Oryctolagus cuniculus: one gene and its partners. The protein of the gene in region 1 purifies or fractionates together with the protein of each later gene. This does not show direct contact. Links are inferred from orthologs where the notes say so. Each region holds a gene or a part of one and is shown in the gene's direction. Other genes may lie near its edges. The genes, in order: KPNA2, SMARCB1 and POLR1E.

What was found.
Region 2: the proteins of KPNA2 (region 1) and SMARCB1 purify together in Homo sapiens (affinity purification with mass spectrometry; 3 studies listed by BioGRID and IntAct, with this or other methods). This does not show direct contact. The link is inferred for Oryctolagus cuniculus from reciprocal best matches to the Homo sapiens genes KPNA2 and SMARCB1.
Region 3: the proteins of KPNA2 (region 1) and POLR1E purify together in Homo sapiens (affinity purification with mass spectrometry; 3 studies listed by BioGRID and IntAct, with this or other methods). This does not show direct contact. The link is inferred for Oryctolagus cuniculus from reciprocal best matches to the Homo sapiens genes KPNA2 and POLR1E.

The regions. Positions count from the first base shown.
Region 1 is NC_091448.1:13,981,353-13,984,999, forward strand, and holds part of KPNA2 (importin subunit alpha-1), read left to right. Parts: intron 1-659; coding exon 660-928; intron 929-1,160; coding exon 1,161-1,255; intron 1,256-1,354; coding exon 1,355-1,618; intron 1,619-1,794; coding exon 1,795-2,028; intron 2,029-2,247; coding exon 2,248-2,430; intron 2,431-3,647.
Region 2 is NC_091452.1:30,766,779-30,770,085, forward strand, and holds the end of SMARCB1 (SWI/SNF-related matrix-associated actin-dependent regulator of chromatin subfamily B member 1), read left to right. Parts: intron 1-1,958; coding exon 1,959-2,090; intron 2,091-2,313; coding exon 2,314-2,353; 3' UTR 2,354-2,665; downstream 2,666-3,307.
Region 3 is NC_091432.1:200,290,722-200,294,382, forward strand, and holds the start of POLR1E (DNA-directed RNA polymerase I subunit RPA49), read left to right. Parts: upstream 1-803; 5' UTR 804-925; coding exon 926-1,001; intron 1,002-1,489; coding exon 1,490-1,593; intron 1,594-2,823; coding exon 2,824-2,900; intron 2,901-3,661. UniProt on the Homo sapiens protein: Component of RNA polymerase I (Pol I), a DNA-dependent RNA polymerase which synthesizes ribosomal RNA precursors using the four ribonucleoside triphosphates as substrates.

The DNA.
Region 1 (3,647 bases):
GCCAAGATCCTGGAACTCCATTCTGGTCTCGCATAAGAGTGGCAGGGGCCCAGCCCAAGTACTTGGACTGTCTTTTGCTGCTTTCCCAGACATGTTAGCAGGGAACTGGATTGAAAGCAGAAGCACCCAGGACTTGAACCAGCACTGCCATACAGGATGCTGGCATTGCAGTCTGTGACTCCAGTTGCTGTGTCACAATGCCTGTCCTCTTTTCATGTACTTTTTAAAAAGCATTCCAAAAGTCGTTGGAAGGAAAAGAAGAAATACTTAGACTATTAGAAAAGAAATATATTTGGATCCTTATCTCTCACAATAGATAGCTGTGTATTCATAACAGAAAGAATTAATAGTTTTTATAGCTTGACAGGATTTAGAAAAACAGAATGGTAAGTGATCACAGGCCAGGTATCCGCCCTCACTGTCAGCCGGGGAAGTGCGTGGCAGCAGCATAGACTCGTCCTGTTAGGTTGTCACACTGATGAAGGAGCCCTGCCAGGGATTTGGGGTGGGGGAGGGTGAGACAAGCTCCCTGGGGTCTCAGCACTTCAGGATTTACTTATCTGTCTCATGTTCTAAGCTCTTGAATTCAATTTTAAATTGGTTCACGTACACACTTATTTATCACCTTCACCTTGTATTTCTCTTTTTCTTCCCCTTAGGAAACTGCTTTCCAGGGAAAAACAGCCCCCTATAGACAACATAATCCGGGCTGGTTTGATTCCAAAATTTGTGTCCTTCTTGGGCAGAACTGATTGTAGCCCCATTCAGTTTGAATCTGCCTGGGCGCTCACTAACATTGCTTCTGGGACCTCAGAACAAACTAAGGCGGTGGTGGATGGAGGTGCCATCCCAGCATTCATTTCCCTGTTGGCATCTCCCCATGCTCACATCAGCGAACAAGCTGTATGGGCTCTAGGGAACATTGCAGGTACTTTTAACTTTTTGTTTTTTGAGGTTGGGAGAATGACCTTTGTTATGAGTAGTGGTGACCTTTGTGTCGAGTTTTAAGCTTGCTTCAGGCCCCTGTTAGGGATGAAGATGGCATCTAACAAAGGCACCAGAGGGCATCTCAGGGACTTTCCCATGGTGCAGTCAGCCACAGAACGCTGCTGGTGCTAGTCAAGGAGGTTTGCTCAGCTTTGCCCTTCTTCTTTCTGCAGGTGATGGTTCAGTTTTCCGAGATTTGGTTATCAAGTATGGTGCAATTGACCCACTGTTGGCTCTTCTGGCTGTTCCTGATATGTCCTCTTTGGCAGTAAGTTACCAGCATAGTGAAGTTTCTCACTTCTCATCTGCATGTCCCTCTACTTCCTCAAAAGACAGGATCTCTCATTGCTGTTTCCTTCTCCCCTAGTGCGGTTACTTACGTAATCTGACATGGACACTTTCAAACCTTTGTCGCAACAAGAATCCTGCACCCCCATTAGATGCCGTTGAGCAGATTCTTCCTACTTTAGTTCGTCTCCTGCATCACGATGATCCGGAAGTGTTAGCAGATACCTGCTGGGCGATTTCCTATCTCACTGATGGTCCAAATGAGCGGATTGAAATGGTTGTGAAGACAGGAGTTGTGCCGCAACTCGTGAAGCTTCTAGGAGCTAATGATTTGCCAATTGTGGTAAGTTGTTAACTTCAAGATTAGAATATAAAGTACAAGGGACACAATCGATAGTAAATATTGAAATACTGCCTATTTCAGGCCATAAAGAGCCTCTTGTCCAAATTTTTAGGGTACAGACATTTTGAGCAATTGGAAAAAAAAATAATCAGCATCAACATTGTTTTCCTTTTCAGACTCCTGCGCTAAGAGCCATAGGGAATATTGTCACAGGGACAGATGAACAGACACAGGTTGTGATAGATGCGGGAGCACTTGCCGTCTTTCCCAGCCTGCTGACTAACCCCAAAACTAACATCCAGAAGGAGGCCACGTGGACAATGTCAAACATCACAGCTGGGCGTCAGGACCAGATACAGCAAGTTGTGAATCACGGATTGGTCCCGTTCCTTGTTGGTGTTCTCTCTAAGGTATTAGAGATTTAATCATATGATTGCATTTACAGGCCAACATTTTTGTGGTTGGGTACTATTCATTGAGTTCATTGATAAATAATAACCAGTAATCCCTTTCCTTTAAGGTTGGATAGAGCCAGTTGGTTGTTTCAATCATTATTTCTGTAAAATGAAATTTTGGAATCTCATTTGTGTGACTGTTCTGAACTAAAACCAATTCCTTTTGTTTAATAGGCAGACTTTAAGACACAAAAAGAAGCAGTATGGGCTGTAACCAACTATACAAGTGGCGGAACAGTTGAACAGATTGTGTACCTTGTTCACTGTGGTATAATAGAACCGTTGATGAACCTCTTGACCGCAAAGGATACCAAAATTATTCTGGTTATTCTGGATGCCATTTCAAATATCTTCCAGGTAAGCCCTAACAGGGTGGCATTTGTTTGAATTTGGGCTTCATGGTGATTGATTTGCTGTGTCGACTAGGGAGGGCAGCTAGATGACTCATTAGTAGTCAGAACCAGCAAGGCCATTTATGTAAGCCAGGCTCCCTTCAGTGGTGCACTCCCCAATAAGCACAACCCCTGGGGCCCTGCCAGGAGCCAGACGTGCAATCCAGGTCTGCCAAGTGGGTGGCAGACAAGTACCCGATTACCTGAGCCATCACTGCTGCCTATCAGCATTAACTGGAAGCTGGAATCAGGAGGTGGAGCTAGGAACTGAATCCAGGCATTCTGAGGCAGGATGCAGGTATCCTAGCTACCAGTCTAAATGCCCTTTTTTTTTTTTTTTTTTTTAAGATTTTATTTATTTGAGAGACAAGAGTAACAAAGGGAGAGACAGAGAGGTCTTCTGTCTGCTGGTTCACTTCCCAGTTGGCAACAACGGCTGGAGCTGGGTTGATTGGGAGCCAGGAGCTTCTTCCTGGTCTCCCATGCGGGTGCAGAGGCCCAAGGACTTGGGACGTCTTCCACTGCTTTCCCAGACCATAGCAGAGAGCTGGATCGGAAGAGGAGCAGCCCAGACACAAACTGGCGCACACACCTGCCATCCCCTCCATCCGTAGCCACTAGTGTAGGCTCAGCCTATTGCGCCACAGCACTGACTCCTCTAAATGCCCATTCTACCACACTCTTCCTAGGGATTATAAGAGGCATGTAACAGGTGATTAATGAATGACACGACTTTAATTGAAGTCAAGTCTTGAAGTGAAAGCTATTCATACTACTTATTTTGTCAGGTATATTTAACCCCCCAATTTCATGCTAAATTTTGGTGAAATTAGCTATATTTTTCTCGTTTGACCTGAGGATGATTTAACCCTGCCGGCACATGGCATTTTGCCGTAGTGATTGGTACCAACTTCTAGATCTGGTTCTGGAAATTATTACATGTTGAAGCTGGATTCAGAATAAGGAAGGCTGGTGTCTATCGCCATCTGTAAATTATGAGTGACTGGTTCTCCCACCTTCTCTCATGTACCTGCTACATTGAGTTTCAAAAAAAATATAAAGTGGACATAAGACTATCATTAGGATTGTTAAAGAAACTGTTAATGTGCATTCCTGTCTGATATATGAAAGCTTTGATATGTGTATTTTCATTAAAATAGAACCATCAGAGAATAAACCAGT
Region 2 (3,307 bases), on another chromosome or scaffold:
GAGCAGGGAACTGGATTTGAAATGCAGCAGCCGGCACTCGATCCTGCGCCTATGTGGGATGCCAGTGCTGCAGGCAGTGGCTTTACCTGCTATGCCACAGTGCCAGCCCCTTCCCTTGAAATCTTAGCTCTCTCATTTCTAAGGGGGAGTCTTAGTGCTTCTTGCCTTGCATGTTCATCACACAAGGTCATGAACTTGACAGTGACAGTGACCTGAAGATAGCCCGTGAGCTGCAGTCACAGCAGGGGTGCTCTTGCACCCCTAGAATCACTGGGAAATGAGGGCAGCGCCTCTGCCTGAGTGGGCCCCCAAACCTGAGGCCGGCGAGTGCTGGCTGCAGGCCCGTTCTGAGCGTTGTTTTGAGCCATTCTTATTTTAGAACAGGCCGCTGACGTGGAATCTTCCCAGAGTCAAGGGGAGGCAAACAAAGGGGCCTCTGGGCCCTGCTCGCCAGCTCTTGTGTAAATTGCGAGGAAAACATGTTTTGCTCCCCTCTGCGTGGGCTTGGCGCCTCTCATGTCTGCCCTCCTGGGGCAGGCAGCTGGGCGCCCTCAAGGTGGGGAGTAATGTTTGGGGTTTGTGGCTGGGTCGTTCCTGGATTGCCAAACCAGGCTGCGGAGGAGGGGTCAGCCCCAAGGGAGTCAGGGGTGGGCGCTGCCCCGTCCCAGCCTCTGAGTCACCAGCATGAGCTCTGGCTTCTGTGCCTCCTAGGCACAGACCCAGTGGGCTGAGCTTCAGCAGGAAGCGGTCAGGCACACATGTGCAGTAGGCCCTGTGCTCACTGTCCCTGACACCCCCAGGCCACAGAGAGCAGCACAGACCAGGCCAGCCTCTCTGGCTGGGCTGGAACAGGCCCCAGTGTGTTGGTGCCTGCCGGCCAGGTGGTGAAGAGCCGGGCCCTGCCCATAGACCACCTGGTGCGGTGACCTGGGGCACAGGCTGCAGGGAGGCTGTATGGCGAGGCCCCACCTCTAGGGGGCGCCCTCAACAGATGTGTGTGGACTGCGTCAATATAGTGACCCCCAACATTGCTTTGCAGCCATACTTATTATTCCCATATCCCAGATGAAAACCAAGGCAGCAGCCAGGGACCTCTCCCTAGGGCCCTACTACCTTCGCCCCTCCCAAAGCTAACGGGACACCTGGTAGGGCTGCAGTCTACAGGGCAGCCTCCTAGGGGCCCAGGGGAGGCTGCGGTGGGGGGCGCCTGATGAAGCAGGCACCACGAGCCAGGATGCGTGCTTAGCACCTGAAGCTGCTCTGCCTTTCAGACCAGAGCCACCGGGGAGAGGGCACAGGGGCCCTTCAGTGTCCACGGTGGCGTCCACCTCCTTATCCTCCTGTTTCTCAGAAACCAAGGCCCAGAATGGTGACAGCTCAGCCGCACTTCCCCCTGGGTGTGCACTTGGCCAGGGAACGGTCTGTGAGGGACCAGGCAATGTGGTTTCTGGATCCAGCTTTCCTGGGGGTGTAGAGTGGCCCCCGTGGCACTGCTGGGCAAGTGTGTGGGATACCCAGGAGCAGGCATCTGGGGCCAGCACCTCCTCTCACCCCTCCTGTTCTCAGTCAGTGGATCTGGCCCTGGCCACCGAGTGGAGCAGCCGCACCTCCCTGCTCTGTGCTGCTGTGTCGGGACAGCCCTTCCACGCTCAGACAGGGAGGTGCTGAGGTGTGCAGAGTGGTCTCCAAAAGGAAGCCTGCAGGGCCGTACCAGTGCCCCTGTTGCTGCAGGCCACTCTGGCAGCTCCCTTGAGGGTCAGGGGATAGGTGCTACCCTGGCTGCCCCATCAGCTGTGCCAGAATCCCCTGGCCAGCACAGGGGAGGCTGAAGCCAGAAGAGCTAGGCCTTCCCTCCATGGCTGGCTGCCTGCTGGAGGGGTGCGGGGTGATGGTTTCTGGGGACTGTGGCTGCCAGCTGTGAACTAGCAGTTGTTCCTGTCACTGCCCCCCTCCCCCAGCGAGAACCCCCTGCCCACAGTGGAGATTGCCATCCGGAACACAGGCGACGCTGACCAGTGGTGCCCACTGCTGGAGACCTTGACTGACGCCGAGATGGAGAAGAAGATCCGCGACCAGGACAGGAACACGAGGTACCAGCCCCGGCCCTGCCCAGGGGCACCCATCTTCCCAGGCGGAGGCAGGGCTGTCTCCTTTCCCCGTGACCCACACTCTCAGGTCAGACCCAGGCCTCAGGGTCCCTGGAGACATGGGGCTCAGAGAGGGCTGGGGGTGTCCTGCTGGGCGTCCACCCTTGCCAGCTGGGATTGGTCCTGGCTTACCGTGCTCCCCTCCTGCCCCCCCCTCCCCCCGCAGGCGGATGAGGCGTCTGGCCAACACTGCCCCAGCCTGGTGACCCTCCTGTTGGCGCTCAGCTTTCACGAAGCAGCTCAGAAGATTGGACCCCTCCCCTTCCTCTTCTGATCAGGAGAGGGGCAGTGGACAGCCGGTGCCATCTGGAGGAATGGGGCAGGGGCCTGGACCCCCTGGGTCACCCTTCCCAGCCATACCTCGCATCTGCTGAGCCCCAGTCCTGTTTCCCCACTCATTAGCCCCCTACCCCAGTGTCTGGGGCCAGAAAGAAGCCTCGTTTTAGGTTGTGTTTTGTTTTTGTATGAGAGCCCCAGGCAGGGCTAGCAACACTTTTTAAATAAAAGGCAACAGGTCACGTGGTGTTCAGTGCTTCAGAAGGGCAGAGTGGGCAGGGCCGAGGCTGCCGGCCAGGCCATTCCACCTGAACAGCAGGGGTTAGGGGGCTCCCCTGGAAGCCACCTCAGCACCCCACGTGGCCCGAGGCAGAGCCCATCCTTGCTTCTCCTTGGGCCTTCTAACTTCCTCCCCACACCCCGCCCCCATGCCAGCCTTAGGAAGGAGCCTTGGGCTCTCCTAGCTCTGGGCCACCCTGTCTCTGCTCCATCAAGAGAAGCTGGCCAGGGGCACCTGAGTGGCACTGCCGGAACATCAGTGTACCCAGAACTGGCTGATGGGGCCTCTCCAACCCGGCAGGCACTGCGGCCTGGGCCGGCTCCTCTCCCCTGGGTCTGTAGTGAGGAGGACTGGCAGCTGCTGGCTCTTGGGCTTGATGTGCTGTCTGCAGAGACAGCTCTGGGTCTTCTCCTAGCTCTCCCCCAGTGGGGTCCCTCATCCTTGTGTCCTTGTGTGCAAGATGGAAGCATCTGGAGGCAGCGCATGGGTCTCTGCTATGTGCCACTGCCGGCTGCTGACAGGTCCTCCCTCGCCAGGGCAGGGCTGAAGATCAGAGGCGCTCTGGGGCCTGGCATCCAACCTGAGCCCCATCCAGGGCAGGAAA
Region 3 (3,661 bases), on another chromosome or scaffold:
CTCCTCTTCCGATCCAGCTCTCTGCTGTGGCCTGGGAAAGCAGTAGAAGATGGCCCAAGTCCTTGGGCCCCTGCACCCGCATGGGAGACCCGGAAGAAGCTCCTGGCTTCTGATTGATGCAGCTCCCTCCGTTGCAGCCATCTGGGGAGTGAACCATTGGATGGAAGACCTCTCTCTGCCTCTCCTCTCTCTGTGTAACTCTGACTTTCAAATAAATAAGAAATCTTAAAAACAAAAACAAAAACAAACTACACCTTCTAGACCACTCCAGAATCCTCTGCCCCAATGCCCTGAGCCTGGTGGGCCTTTCCCCCCAGCCCATCCTCCCAAGGCTGAGAGGCCACAGGTGAACATCTGGCTTTGAGGTGAGACCCAGGCAGCGAGATGCTTGCCGGGCTCTGGACAATGCTTGGTCTCAAGGGCTGCACGGCCACGTGTCTTGTATGGGACACCTCACCTCAGAGTTGGGGTGGCCCTCTGTCAGCTGCCACATTTAGCCGAGGCTCAAAAAATTCCTGTCAGATGATTCTAAATTTAAACTTGGCCTTCGAGCCCTGGGGAAGACACATTTGTCATGGTAGAAGAGACAGCCCATGCTCCACCTGCACCGCCTTACGGGAAAGTTATGCGGCAGTGGCAAGATCTTCTGGCCCAGCCAGAAGGAGCGCTGGGCCAACCAGGCTCTGCATCCTCAGGGTAGCTGTCAAGAAGGGGGCGTGGTGACGGATGAGAAGGGGCGGAGCTAACGGCGGGCGGGGCTCACGCGGCTCCTCCAGGGGGCGTGCCACGCACGGCTGCGTACTCGGCCGGTGCCCTGAGGCCACGCCCCTTCCGGTTCGCCGCTCAGCCCGGCAGCCGCGTGAGGACCGTCGCTGCAGAGTCGGCAGTTGTGGAAACTCCTGGGTTTGACGGCCTGACGGACGGGATGGCCGCAGATGTGTTGCCGAGTGCGACGTGGCTGTACTGTGGGGAGCCCGACGAGAGCCAGAAAGCTGTACTGGGTGAGGACTGCGGCGCTGGAGCGGGGCTCCCCTTCCGTCTCGGTACCTCTCCAGGTCTCCCTTCCCGCCCAATGCGTCAGGGCCCCCTGGCGTCTCCACCGCTGCCTGGGACTCGGCAAGGGGCATCCCGCAACCTTTCTGTCGGTACTTCCCAGCTGCATGAGGACATCTCCATCGCCCCCTCCCCAGGGCGGTGCCCGGGACGCTGCCCTCCCCTCCCCCGCCAGGTCTCCCACCTGCCCCCTTTCCCTCTCTCCGCTGGGCGCGGATTCTCCCTCCCCAGGTCTGGACCAGGCCCCTGGGTCAGCCTCATCCCCGCCGCCGTTTCCTCTTGTCTCAGCTGCCTCCGCCCCCCGCCCCGCTCGCCCCGCCAGCCTGTCCCCTCTTCTTGGACGGATGGACGCTACCCGCGTTTCTTTGCCAGCCCCATCCAGCCGTAGCTCCCTCCCACCATGCACCGTGGTCATTGTCGGGCGGTCCTCTTACAGTCCAATTCTCCAACGGGAAGCTGCAGAACCCGGGCAACATGCGCTTCACCTTGTACCAGAGCAGCGACTCCGCAAACCCCAGGAAGAGGAGTCAGCGGATCCTGGTAAGCGCTGCGGCTGCCAGTGCCCCGCTCTGCCTGCCTTAGGAGGCCCCTGGGGTGTGGGTGGATGGGAGAGGAGAAAATGGCTAGGGGCCTTTGGAAAAGCTCCGGCTCCAGCAGCTTGCGGCGTGGGGACAGGCTCCACGCAGCTCTGGGACTTCCGGTGGCGTGGTGGGCGTGCATTCACGTGTCCTGTCAGCATGTGTTATTGAACAGGCACTGCATCCCTGTGCGGTGAGTTAGGGAAACAGCCCCCTCCGACCTGGCGCCACTGGTGCTGTGGAGCAGGGCTTCGGTGCCTCTGTACACCGATAGGCCATGCCTGGCTGTGGCTGGCAGTCCTGTGCCTCAGGATGGTGCCCTAGAGAGGTGTGGAGTGGCTGCCGGGACACGCATCCATTAGACAGAGCTCTGGGCCCGGTGGGGAGGGTGCAGGGCGGAGTGAGCTCAGTGGCTTGCCAGAAGCCCCTTCTGGGGGTGGGTGCTTCAGTGCTGAGCCCTGAAAGGGGAGGGAAGGTTTGGCAGCCAAGATTTGGGGTTCCATGTGAAGCAGATAACAAGGACAAAAACGGAAGCAGGAAGGCTTGGCGGTTACAGGGAGCGAGTCAGCTGTGGCTGTGGTCCTGAGGGTTTAGAAAGAGCAGGCATGGGGGAGGTGGGCGCAGAGGATCAAGGCGGGCTTAGACTCTGGGCGAGGAGGTAGCCTGCAGAATCGCTTGGTTGCACACTGGCAAGTGCAACCTTCTCATCCGTCACCACGCCCCCTTCTTGACAGCTACCCTGAGGATGCAGAGCCTGGTTGGCCCAGAGCCCCTACTGGCTGGGCCAGAAGGTCCTGCCACTGCCGCATAACTTTCCCGTAAGGCTTCCTCCCGCTCAGCGCGGTGCAGGTGGAGCATGGGCTGTCTCTTCTGCCATGACAAATGTGTCTTCCCCAGGGCTCGAAGGCCAAGTTTAAATTTAGAGCCTCTTGCTTACGTCCTGTCCTGTGGTGCAGGCCCCCAGGAACGTCTCATACCCGTTAGAAGCTGATGCTGTCCGTGGCTTCCGCTTCTAAAGCCCTCTTGCCTTTCCCCAGGACTTCCCCAGATTACCTTGGAGCTGGGGGCGGGGGGGCTGGATCATCTCAGCCACTGTGGTTCTGGGTTAAAAGCTTTGGCAGATGTGAGAATGAGGCAAGATGCTCACTGCCTCTCAGCCTTGGTCATGAATGGGGTTTCTCCTGTGTTTTAGGCAGCTGAAACAGAGAGACTTTCCTACGTGGGAAACAATTTTGGGACTGGAGCCCTCAAGTGTAACACTCTGTGCAGGTAATGGTGTGGGGAGGATGATGGGAAGGGTGTGGTGCGGCACTGACACTGCTGTTTTTAGTCTATTTTAGGGGCAGTGGGAGAAATTGAGGTTTGCCAGGTGCCTGTGTGCTTGTACCTGGGGCTCTCTTGGAACGAATGCATGATTTATATTTGCTGAGTTTTCCTAAAATATGCATTTGTCGCATTGTTTATTTATAACTTTTTTTAAAAGATTTATTCATTTACTTATTTGAAAGTCAAAATTACAGGGGATGGGGAGAGAGGCCTGCGCTTGTGGCATAGGGGGTAAAGCTGCCGCCTGCAGTGCTGGCATCCCATATGGGCGCCGATTCGAGTCCTGGCTGCTCTACTTCTGATCCAGCTCTCTGCTGTGGCTGGGAAAGCAGTAGAAGTTGGCCCAAGTCCTTGGGCCCTGCATCCGCATGGGAGACCTGAAAGAAGCTCCTGACTCCTGGCTTTCGATCAGCGCAGCTCCGGCTATTGTGGCCAATTGGGGAGTGAACCATCAGATGGAAGACCTCTCTCTCTGCCTCTCCTCTCTCTGTGTAACTCTTTCAGATAAATAAATAAAATCTTTTAAAAGAGAGAGAGAGAGAGAGAGAGAGATATCTTCCATTTGCTAGTTCACTCCCTGAATGACCTCAACAGCCAGGGCTGGGCCAGGTCAAAGCCAGGAGCCTGGCGCTTCTTTGGGGTGTCCCAGGTGAGTGCAGGGGCCCAAGCACTTGAGCCATCCTCCACTGCTTTCCCAGGCCATT